Rattus norvegicus: one gene and its partners. The protein of the gene in region 3 purifies or fractionates together with the protein of the main gene of each other region. This does not show direct contact. Links are inferred from orthologs where the notes say so. Each region holds a gene or a part of one and is shown on either strand. Other genes may lie near its edges. The genes, in order: Irf2bpl, Tead4 and Vgll4.

Region 1 (4,379 bases), on a different chromosome or scaffold from region 3:
TTTGAACTCAGGACCTCTGGAAGATCAGTCAGTGCTCTTAACCACTGAGCCATCTCTCCAACCCATGTATCTACATTATAATAAAAATAATTAGCTGAAGCAAAGGAACTACTTTTCCAATGCCCATCTTTGTACCTGTCTTAGAGTAACCTGTCACAAGCACAAGGCACAACCTGAAATCGACAACCCATCAAGCTGACAGAGATGATTCCATTTTGCAGAGGGAAAATATTATATAAGCAGAGCTCAAGGTTACAAAGCCGGTAGCAATAGTGAAGAAATTCCAATCCTGTAGGGCAAACCCAGCCTTATCAAATCCCCTCCCCTCCACCAACCTTCCACAGGGATTATGTTAATTTACGTAAGAAAAAAGCAAACTCAATAAATAGGGAAACCAAGTAACATGCCCCAGCCAGAGCTAAGACCAACTCTATCAGTTTTTACAGTAAGCAATAAGGATGGGCAGTGATCTTAGGAGGGAGAAGAAATCATGACCTCCCAGAGTGCACCGGGACAGTGTGGAATTAAATCACAACACACAGAAGGAACTTTGAAAACTGTGCTTTATTTGTTTACGATTCTGAGGATAGTGTTCTGAGCCTGGGTCATCCTGAACAAGCGCTCCCTCGATGAGCTATGTCCCAAACTCTAGCACACAGTGTTATTAAATGCCCCTCCCCGCCTTTATGAAACCCAGAAAACCACTCACCTGTTTGACCAATTCCTCACTCCCCCTTCCCTGCCCTCCTCTGCAGCTGTATTCAGAAGACCTCCGAGTGATCCGAGCTTCTTTAGACATTCAGTCAAAATATTTTATAAAGTTCGGCCAGGGAGAGGGGTGGCTCATTTAGTGATAGTCTCACAACTCCTATTCCATTCTTAGGCTGGGTCGCAAAAGCAAATCTGAAAGGTAATTTCTTGAAGATGGGAGAAATGCTAATTCTGCAGGTGTTTGGGCACCAATGGTGGCAAGGAATGTTAACATTAACGGGGGAGGGAGCTCTCGTCGCAGATTAAATAGGTAATACCCTTATATGAAATTCAAAGTGAAACTCGTCAAACAGGGCATTTAATTTTACTGCCTGGGGGTTTGGTGGGGTGGGGAACGGGAATCGGAAACAACACTCGTGGCTCTTAAATGTTTTGTTACTTGGGAAAGCCAGGCAGGAAAAGGAAAGGTCATCGCCTGTTTCATCCCGCCTCCTCGCCCGGAACCCCCCCTCCCCGGCACCCAAACCCTGGACTTGCAGCTTTAGCTCCCCGGGCCTCAGCTGTGGTACACACACAGCCGAGGGGGGAGGGGAGGGAGGGTGGAGGCGCGGAGGAGGGGCCGACAGGGAGGAATCTGGGCATGCTGCCGCGCATGCGCCTTTCGCAAGCAACAAGTGGGCTCCACAGACAGAGGAAGTGTAAAGGGGGGGCTGGGGGACTGGTGCAGAGCATGGTGGTGACGTCAGCGCTCCGCCCGGGCGGCATCCCGCGCGGCCAAGCCGGGGACAGCGCGAGCCGCAGCCGGAGCAGGAGCGCTGAGACGCGCCTCCGGAACGTAGAGTAACAATCACAACCCCACATTCCAGGCGAGCGCGAGCGGGAAGGGATGCGACCCGGGTGGAGGCGCCGAGCGAGCGCCCTGCAGCCAACGTGAGCGCCGCCAGCCTCTGTGGCCGGAGAGGTGGTCAGGCCAGGGGGTGGTGGGAGCCTGCGTGCGTGCGCTCCTCTCCTCTGCTCTCGTGTGTCTTGGAAACGGTGGCCGCAGCTGCTCTCTCCGGCGTGCAAACCCAGGCGCCGCCAGCGCAACGGCCGTCGCTGCGGAAGGGAAACGCTCCTCTTTTGGCAGCCACCTCCTCCCCCGGCCCTCCCGGGGAATCAGCGGCTTCAGCAAGATTGGACCTGGGCACCGGGTGGCAAAACCTTCTAACCCTCTCCCCGGGGCGCCTGGCGTAGAGAAGACTCAGATCGTAGGGAGGACCCCCTTCGCGTTCCACGCTTCAATCACTCCGGGGAGGGGGCCAAGAGGCCACTGGCGGTCGGCCCCGGACACCCTAGCCCCCTCCCCCCAGGCCCGGAGCTCGCAGCCCTGATCCGCCGCACCAGGAAGAAGGCACCCGGTGCTCTGCTCTGGACAAGACAGCCGCAGTAGGAGGTGGGGGCGAGGAGCGTGCGGAACCCGTCGGTCGCCTGGGCGGTGGAGCCCCCGCCGAGAGGCACTACTGCGCCGGCAGTGGAGACTCGCGCTCCCTCCAGCCCCTGGGGCAGAACTTTCTCGCCCCCCTCCTCTCCCCTCCCCCGCAGCCGGACTCCTTCCCCAGCCAGCTAGTCCTCCCGAAGGAGAAAGCGCCGCGGAGACAGCCCGGGCGGGGGCCTACCTTCCCCGAGGCTGGCATCATGTCGGCGGCGCAGGTGTCCTCGTCCCGGAGACAGTCTTGCTACCTGTGCGACCTGCCTCGCATGCCCTGGGCCATGATCTGGGACTTCTCCGAACCCGTATGCCGTGGTTGCGTCAATTACGAAGGCGCCGACCGCATAGAATTCGTGATCGAGACAGCACGCCAGCTGAAGCGGGCGCACGGTTGCTTCCAAGACGGCCGCTCCCCCGGGCCGCCGCCGCCAGTCGGGGTCAAGACAGTGGCCTTGTCCGCCAAGGAAGCGGCAGCAGCAGCTGCCGCCGCTCAGCAACAGCAGCAGCAACAACAACAGCAGCAGCAGCAGCAGCAGCAGCCACAGCAGCTCAACCACGTCGATGGCTCTACCAAGCCTGCAGTGTTGCCCGCCCCGTCCGGTCTGGAGCGCTATGGCCTGAGCGCAGCGGCCGCCGCGGCTGCTGCCGCCGCCGCCGCGGTTGAACAACGCAGCCGTTTCGAGTACCCGCCTCCCCCGGTGAGTCTGGGGAGCAGCAGCCACGCCGCCCGGCTGCCCAACGGCCTGGGAGGTCCCAACGGCTTCCCCAAGCCGGCACCAGAGGAGGGTCCCCCGGAGCTGAACCGCCAGAGCCCCAACTCATCCTCAGCGGCAACATCGGTGGCTTCTCGGCGTGGGACTCATAGTGGGCTGGTGACCGGGCTGCCCAACCCGGGTGGTGGCGGGGGACCCCAGCTCACCGTGCCCCCCAACCTATTGCCGCAGACGCTGCTTAATGGCCCGGCCAGCGCCGCGGTACTGCCTCCGCCCCATGGGCTGGGGGGAAGCCGAGGGCCCCCGACTCCAGCACCTCCGGGTGCTCCTGGGGGGCCCGCCTGTCTCGGGGGTCCCCCGGGTGTGTCGGCCACTGTATCCTCTGCTCCGTCATCGACCTCGTCGACAGTGGCAGAGGTGGGCGTGGGTGCTGCTGGTAAGAGGCCTGGATCGGTGTCGAGCACAGACCAGGAGCGTGAGCTAAAGGAAAAGCAGCGCAACGCTGAGGCCTTGGCCGAGCTGAGCGAGAGCCTGCGCAACCGCGCGGAGGAGTGGGCTAACAAGCCCAAGATGGTCCGTGACACGCTGCTCACGCTGGCTGGCTGCACGCCCTACGAGGTGCGCTTCAAGAAGGACCATTCGCTGTTGGGTCGTGTCTTTGCCTTCGACGCGGTCTCTAAGCCCGGCATGGACTACGAGCTGAAGCTGTTCATTGAGTATCCCACGGGCTCCGGCAATGTGTACTCCAGCGCGTCTGGGGTGGCCAAACAGATGTACCAGGATTGCATGAAGGACTTTGGCCGGGGTCTGTCCTCTGGCTTCAAATACCTGGAGTACGAGAAAAAGCATGGCTCTGGCGACTGGCGCCTTCTTGGGGACCTACTGCCCGAAGCTGTGCGCTTCTTCAAGGAGGGCGTGCCCGGCGCGGACATGCTGCCCCAGCCCTACCTAGATGCCAGTTGTCCCATGCTACCCACGGCGCTGGTGAGTCTCAGCCGCGCCCCCAGCGCACCTCCAGGAACTGGAGCCTTGCCACCCGCGGCGCCCACGGGCCGGGGTGCAGCAGCCAGCCTGCGCAAAAGGAAGGCATCCCCGGAGCCTCCAGACTCAGCTGAAAGCGCACTGAAGCTCGGTGAGGAGCAGCAGAGGCAGCAGTGGATGGCAAACCAGAGCGAGGCGCTGAAGCTCACTATGTCCGCGGGGGGCTTTGCGGCGCCGGGACACGCAGCAGGGGGACCGCCTCCACCCCCTCCACCTCTGGGACCTCATTCCAATCGGACCACCCCGCCCGAGTCAGCCCCCCAGAACGGTCCGTCCCCCATGGCCGCGCTCATGTCAGTAGCAGACACTTTGGGCACAGCGCATTCGCCCAAGGATGGCAGTTCAGTGCACTCCACCACTGCATCTGCTAGGCGAAACAGCAGCAGCCCGGTGTCGCCTGCCTCCGTGCCGGGGCAGCGTCGCCTGGCATCACGCAATGGGGACCT
Region 2 (3,643 bases), about 14 Mb from region 3:
GCCTGCTAAGGTCTAAGGCTGTCAGAGCTTCTCTACAGCTCTTCCCAGAGCCTGATGCCTTCTTTCTCCTTTCTCCTGCAGTGTGAAACCTTTCTCTCAAAACACCTACGCTGTCCAGCCTCCGCTGCCTCTGCCAGGTAGGTAGATTCCCTATGTCACACCCTCTGCCTCCTGCCTCAGGGCCCAGGTCCCCAATACCCCAGTCCTGTTCCTATCACTGCTAGATGTCATGCTGTCACGTGTTCAGATCATGCATCCCAGTTTTCTGGCTCTACCACGTTTCTTGCCTCTAGCTGGCATGCTGCGGCCATGCCTCATGGGTGTCCCGTGGTGTTCCGGGGTGACGCCAGATGCTTGCCTGTTGTGCACAGGGCTGGCTGGGACACAGAACTGGAAGGAGGTGCTCGTGTGCCCAGGTCACTCTCTTAGGGCACATGTGCTGCTAGCTCTTCGGGCTTTCCCCTTGGAATGCTACCTACTGCTTCTCAGTTGGGAGCTGTGGGGCACTGGATTCTGAGCCTAACCCTTCCCTAGCACAGGAGACGCTGATGCCTGGAGTGTACATTGATACCTAAGCAGCTTGCTGGTTTGTGCCCTTCCCCAGGCTTCAGCCCTTACCTTCTCAGGAGGTTTCCTCACCCTTTCCACACTGCAGTCCAGGCCACGGTTTTCAGCCTTCCTGGAAGGGTGACCAGCTGTGCCACTCTGGTTGTGGCCCCTCAGGCTTTCCTGGCACTCGTGGTGCCCACTCACTGCTTCCTTCACCCCTATACGGAGCATCTCTGAGTTGGGTCCAGTCCTCATATCCCTGTCCTCTTTCCTGTTCTCTCTCCTCTGTCCATGTTGATGCAGTCTGCACTCAGATCCACCTAACTCTTGCCCAGATTACTGCAGTCGCCTCTTCACTGGTCCCCGTGATTCCCAAAGCATCTCTCGACATGCTATTTCTGGCCTTAAGATGCTTCCCGGCCCCATCGTTCCTTAACGGTGAGCTCTGAGCTCTGCAGTAGATCTGCTGGACTCCTGAGACTCAGCTTACTCTGCTCCCTGGTCCTGTCCACTGTGCTCCCTGCTCTGCCTCTGGGCTGTGGCTAGACTGCTCCTCCTGGGCCTTGGATCCTCTCACCTGTCGCCACCCAGGTTAGGCGCCCACTGCTTGCCCAGCCAGGGCTCTGTGGACCTCTGTCTAACAGAAGTGTTCATCACTCCCATTTCTGCTTGTACTCGGACACATGTATCTGAGTATCCTTGTGGGATCTTCCTTCTTTTGTTTACACTGTGCTGTGCCCACTGCTTCTGCCTAGGGTGCTAGAGGTCATCAGACTCCCAGAAGGAGAGCGTGGGTCATGAATCTACTGTGTCTCCCTCTGTGCCACCCTTCCGTCACAATGAAGGAATGAAAATCTGCCCAGCAATGGCAGGCTTGCTTGGAGTGCTAACAGCATCAAAACCACAGCTCCCATCCTAAATGGAATAAAGGATGGTTTATGCTGGAGCCGTTATGAGAGACCATGGCCTGGGAACACAGATTTAGGTTACCCCAAATTCCATGTTCCAACGTGGAAACGGGTTCACAGGGTTTTAGATTTTTTTTACTGAACAAAGAAAGTCATGAATCAAGACAACCTTGAACTACTCTGGTGGATCCACCAGCGTATGCAGGTACAACAAGATTCAGGGAGATATTCTATAGGTCTAAAATGCTCTGGGCTGACACTCTTAGCTCTCGGAATGGCAGAAACTAGTGCTCTGCTAAGTTAATAACTTCTGAGAGGTTTCTAATTACTATCATGTGGTGTTAGTTCAGATACAGAGCGGGGTAAGGAATGGCTGTTCAAGAAGACCACAACTAGCCCTGAATAAAGTCATTAGCCTCTGAGACGTGAAATTCCCGTCTCTCCACTGTTCTGACGCCCCAGTTGGCCTGTCCGTCTGTGAAGACACAGAAACTCCCTCCAGGAGTTTTTTGTTCCCAGCCAGACACAGCTGCTTTTCAGGAAATTTTTTGGTTCGAAGTGCTTGCTCCAGGCAGGGTTCCATTCCTCGTATTACCAGGGGGAAAAATTTGCAAAGCCGTCCGTTTCTCAGCCAAAGTTTAACTCAGCCAGTGGCTTTCCTTGACTTGGGAATAGAATCCATCCTGTTCCCCAGCAACCCTGCCCCACTACAGAGCCTTATTTCCCACAATCCAAAAAGCTGTTTAAAGGGTGGCTTTCCAGATTCCCTCAGCTGGCTCCCAGGCCTCCACATTTGCCTTTGCTGGTTCCCAGCTTGGAGCACCCCCCCTCCCCCATCTCGACCCTCATCCCTCCCATCCCCCACTGGCCCCTACTCCCCACTGTCTCTCTTTCAGCTCTGTAGACCAGGCTGGCTTTGAACTCACAGAGATCTGCCTGCCTCTGCCTCCTGAGGGCTGGGATCAAAGGTGCGGGCTACCACTGCCCTGCTACCTCACACCTTCTTTAAGCCTCATCTTCCTGATTGGTTGGCCTCAGGGGCATCGAGAAGTCTTCTGTGGTGCTGGGGGCACACTTCATCAACACTAGCCTAGATCTGCATTCATTTCTTAGAAACCAATGCTCTCCAGGAAATGGATCCCGCTTCCAGGGCCTCTGAGTTACTGTGCTGTTTGCTTCAGCTGGCTGTCTTCCTACCTGGACTAGAAATCACCCTAGGGCAAGAATCCTGCCTGCCCTAACTGCTTTCAGGCAGCCTGGGCTGTTGAGAATCTGTCAGCCTTGAGCATGGGCCTGGTCCACTGATCTGGATCAAGCACAGGCTCTGCCCTGCCACTGATAATACAAGCAGGGAGAACAAGGAGGGGCAGGCTCCATGTGTTACTCTCCCTTCATGTAGGCTTTGAGTCTCCTGTAGGACCCACCCCATCACCCTCTGCACCGCCAGCTCCTCCATGGCAAGGCCGCAGCATAGCCAGCTCCAAGCTCTGGATGTTGGAGTTCTCCGCTTTCCTGGAGCGCCAGCAAGATCCTGACACAGTAAGTCCCCACCATGTCCAACTGTCAAACTCCCAAGAGAGACCATCTTAATCCCAGGGGTACTGTCACCATTGTGACGCCCTGGTCTTGCAGGCTCAGAATAAGTCACCAATTCCATAGGCCTTGTCCTTAAAGAAAGGCCTAGAATCCTGCAGCTTCTGTCTCTCTGCTGCTATGTATATGCCCCTGTCAATGGAGACCCTGCCCACATAGTAGGTCCCCTAATACACACCTTATTAAATGAATTCTCAACCCTGGAAGTTCTCCCCCCACGGAAGACCTCACCTTCCACCCTCCCTACCTCCTCTGGCTTCCTTCCCTTTCTTTCCCCTCTCCCTTAGGTTTTAATAGAGTCCTCGTTCTTTCTTCTCCCCTCACTGTCCTGTGTGTCATTACCTTCCCCCACCCCCCACTTCTTTACTCCGTTCTTTCCCTTGCATTCTGTATATCTCGACCTCAAGCCTTCCTGGCTTCTGTTCTCTCAGGCTAATCCCCCATCTCTTATTTCTCCTCTTATTCTAGTGGCCTTTCCTCCCAACCCCGCCCCTCCCCCACCCTCCACTATTAGCTCTGAGGGGCACAGGGGAAGCTAGGATACCTCAGGCATGGAATCCATATCATCTGAGACAATAGCAGGGTACAGCAGT
Region 3 (3,643 bases):
GGCAGAGAGAATGAGGCATGTGTTGGTTGTTTAGTGTCCTGGAGTTGAGTTTTAAGATTGTATTGAGCAGAAAATGAGACAGCATCTTTGTGGGCAGGGGACAGAAATGTCAGGCAACCTGGATGGTGCCCATGCTTTCTTGGCTTTGAGGTAGAGGTGGTGTAGTGATGTGGCCTTCTTCCTGGTTGTCAAGGGATGGGAAGCTAGGATTGGGGGCACAGAGGATATGGTCTGCACCATCATATCTCCACCGATGACACAATCCCTGATCAAAACAGGTGGCCTCTAGGTTGGTCGTGGCTTTGGGAGGGTCTAAAGGCTTAGCTTCTGTTCCCACAGCTATTAGTGCTAGACTGTGGGAAGGCTTGAGACTGTCATCCAGGTTCCCAGCGCAGTGACGACAGCACAGATAGCATCAGGAAGGCTCGCTCTGTCACCTCCAGGATATCCTGTGTGGGAAGCCTGAGGCTGGGTGGGTCCTTCCTTACTCTTCTACCCTGCCAATGTACCATGATTCCTGGGGCTGAGCAAGATGATGCATGAGGCTAGCCCTCCAGTCTGTACCTGGTGAAGGGCAGGACACTTGTTTTACCTCCATGTTTTCTTCAGAATTGTACTTCCTGGGATCTAGTCTATTCTCTCCAAATTCTGTTGATATTTTGTCTTTGGAGCTCAGAGAGTGATTGGAAGCACATGGTGACCATCCCTAGCAGACTCTGGATTGGATGAGTATGGTGGTCTCTCTTTGGCTACCCACCTTTTATTTCTCAGTAGAAATGCCCACCTATGGGCAAGGTTGCTTGTCCCAGGCAGTCCTGTGAGTCCTCTAGGCGCCAGCAGGGCCCATGTTGGTTTTCTGTCCACCAACTTGGTCTTTAAGGAGCTGCAGGATGTATGTGGTTTGGGTCAGCGTCCTGATGGCGCAGGACACTCTGGGCTGTGATTCACTCAAAGGGGGAGGGACATGGAAAACAATGTCTGTCTTTAGGCTCCAGGAACCAGGAAAATGAGCTGGAAACAAAGTGATGTGTAATTTTACTAAAATTAACCAGCGCATTCCCAGGCTTGCCCTGTGTTTCATGGTATTCTGTGTGATGTATGCTCAGTGCCAGTTGACTGATTTCCTAGGCATAGTCCTGGAAGCCCCTCTTGGTACCACCCAATTCTGTTCTCTCTATGCATCTCATCATTGAAGTTGGTGCTTGGCCATGTGAAAATGCTGTGGGAATCAAAGGTGGGAGGTGACAAGGACTGGTGGCCTTGTGGTCAAGGAGACAAGTGATGTTAGCCTGCCTGAGTCTTCTTGCCGTCTGTTGGCTGTCTTCCCCAGACCCTCAGCCCTCCTTCTGTTGGGTTCTTCTGTACCCATTGCCTGCCACAGGGTCTCCTGGGGATCATGGTCGTCCCTGGGATTTCCTGTCTGCGCTAGTGTCTGCTGCTTGAGCTCCTGTGAGTGAACCGTGTGAAGGATGCGGATGCAGCTCTGGTTCCCCATGAGTCTTCCCACCCCCAGTTCTGCACTCTGATGTCTTCTTTTCTCTGTGCATGGTCTGCAGCTCAGGGCAGGCAGATTTCCTCTCCCCAATGGTTTCAGTGCTAGTGTAGGACAGGCAGAGATGACCAACAGTGGTGTGGCTTCTGCCCTGAGGGTTGCACTAGAATTCAGGGCCACTACACATTCAAGGAAGCACAATATGGCTGTAGTCTCCCTGAGGATGGTTTGCAGCAAGAGCCAGCGGTGAGCATGGAAAGGCATCTGGAACAGCCGATGGAAGAGGTGTTGACTGCTGATATGTGTGTGTGTGGTGAGAGCTGTCTCTGTAAGGTCAGATTTGCTTAATAAGAAGATGGCTTTGAGATGAACGAAGGGAAGCCACGGAATAACGCCACTACAGAGTGGGCCGGTCAGTGTACGGCAGGAGAGTTTTATGGGAGACCACCAGAGGAAAAAGGAATACTAGGTACCCAGGATTTGCTGTGTCATTTCTTACAATTGAAAGTTAATTGGCCACTAATTAAAGGTATGGCTGTCACATTTGTGGTGTGTGTGTGACATTTGGTGGGGGGCAGGCATGGCTGCTTTTTGCTCACAGCTAGAGTGCACATGACCTGCTTCCCTGGTGGCAGAGAACAAACGGGCCACGCAGGGGCTCAGAGAATAACCTGAAATTTCCAAAAGTCTTGGGACTCATCTCCCATTTTCCTTTCAATTTTAAAGTTGAACAGGTTTGCTCTGAAGGTTGGTTAAAAAGGGACAGAGCCCCAGGGGCTCTAGAATCAGTGGGTGGAGGGAGGAACACCTTGTGTCAGCTGGGCCTTGTGGGTTCTCATGCCATAGTTGTACTGATGCTCTCTCCAGACCCGTGTAGAGGCAGCATTGAGCAGCTGGCCTGCAGTCCATGGGGCATCTCCCAAATGTGCAGGCACTCACAGCTCACGGGAGCTGCTGTCTCCTGCAGTGTCTGCTGCTCTGGTTTCTGGGTACAAGTGCTGGCCACTGGGAGCAGACACCACTGTGGTCCCACTGCAGAACTGGCGTATAGGATTGCACAATTTCTTTGGGTCAGCAGCATTCCCGTCTTCCTCAGTGACCAACTGTGCCCAAACTGACCATGAAATAGATCTTATATGTAGGCAGGCGACACTGCTAAGTAACATGTCTGCCAGTAGGAAACAAGGGAGGCCATGAAGTCAACTTCAGTCCAAAGGTGCCTCTCCTATACTCAAGGCCTGGTTCCACAACTCACCTGTTGGTCCTGCCCTTAGCATTAGCATAGGAATGTCATGGAGCCATCTGGGGGCTCCTCACCAGGGCCCTGTTTGCCAGTCATCCCACTCTGAGCATGGCCCTGTTTTGCAGGAATAAGACTGTCAACGGAGACTGCCGCAGAGATCCCCGGGAACGGAGCCGCAGTCCCATCGAACGGGCTGCAGCCCCCGCTGTAAGCTTGCATGGTGGCCACCTGTATGCATCCCTCCCCAGCCTCATGGAGCAGCCTCTTGCCCTGACTAAGAACAGCAGTGACACAGGAAGGTCAGCTGTGGAGCGGCAGCAGGTGTGTATGTCAGGCAGCTTGGCCAGTTCTCATCTAGAGGTGGCCACATCAGGCTGGAATGTTGGCGACCAAGAGCTCCATGGAGAACCCCCGAGCAGAAGTCCCAAAGTGAGGGGACCTTGGTAACCTCATTCCTTTGGCTTCGTCTCTGCACAGTGCAGGGTTGGTCCAGATGAGTGCCTGGCCCTGGCACTCTGTTCCTCAGGACTAGTGTAGCAATCCCCTTGAGAGGCCTGTCCTCACCCCATATGATTTCATAAGGCCTAAGTTAAATGTCAGTGGATTGCTTGGGGCTCAGATCCTACAACGTCAGTGGTCATAACCTGGAATAAACACAGGCTATTATTATATTATCATTATTATTATTAATATTACTACTACTACTACTACTAAAGGAAAATAAAATTATTGCTATTTACAAAATAGGCCAGACCTGATAGTATAGGCATATAATCTCAACTACTTGGAAGGCTGAGGCAGGAGGATTACAAGTTTGAGGCAACTTCAGAAGGCCTTGATTTACAAAGAGCAAGAGTGGTAGGGAGAGGTCATGGGCACTTGCCTAGTATGTACAAGGCTTTAGCCCC

The links.
Region 1: the proteins of Vgll4 (region 3) and Irf2bpl purify together in Homo sapiens (affinity purification with mass spectrometry; 3 studies listed by BioGRID and IntAct, counting the BioPlex papers as one, with this or other methods). This does not show direct contact. The link is inferred for Rattus norvegicus from reciprocal best matches to the Homo sapiens genes VGLL4 and IRF2BPL.
Region 2: the proteins of Vgll4 (region 3) and Tead4 purify together in Homo sapiens (co-immunoprecipitation; 5 studies listed by BioGRID and IntAct, counting the BioPlex papers as one, with this or other methods). This does not show direct contact. The link is inferred for Rattus norvegicus from reciprocal best matches to the Homo sapiens genes VGLL4 and TEAD4.

Annotation. Positions count from the first base shown.
Region 1 is NC_086024.1:112,259,378-112,263,756, reverse strand, and holds the start of Irf2bpl (probable E3 ubiquitin-protein ligase IRF2BPL), read left to right. Parts: upstream 1-1,492; 5' UTR 1,493-2,385; coding exon 2,386-4,379. UniProt on the Homo sapiens protein: Probable E3 ubiquitin protein ligase involved in the proteasome-mediated ubiquitin-dependent degradation of target proteins. Through the degradation of CTNNB1, functions downstream of FOXF2 to negatively regulate the Wnt signaling pathway.
Region 2 is NC_086022.1:163,199,260-163,202,902, reverse strand, and holds part of Tead4 (TEA domain transcription factor 4), read left to right. Parts: intron 1-81; coding exon 82-137; intron 138-2,856; coding exon 2,857-2,996; intron 2,997-3,643. UniProt on the Homo sapiens protein: Transcription factor which plays a key role in the Hippo signaling pathway, a pathway involved in organ size control and tumor suppression by restricting proliferation and promoting apoptosis.
Region 3 is NC_086022.1:149,601,590-149,605,232, reverse strand, and holds part of Vgll4 (transcription cofactor vestigial-like protein 4), read left to right. Parts: intron 1-2,860; coding exon 2,861-3,056; intron 3,057-3,643. UniProt on the Homo sapiens protein: May act as a specific coactivator for the mammalian TEFs.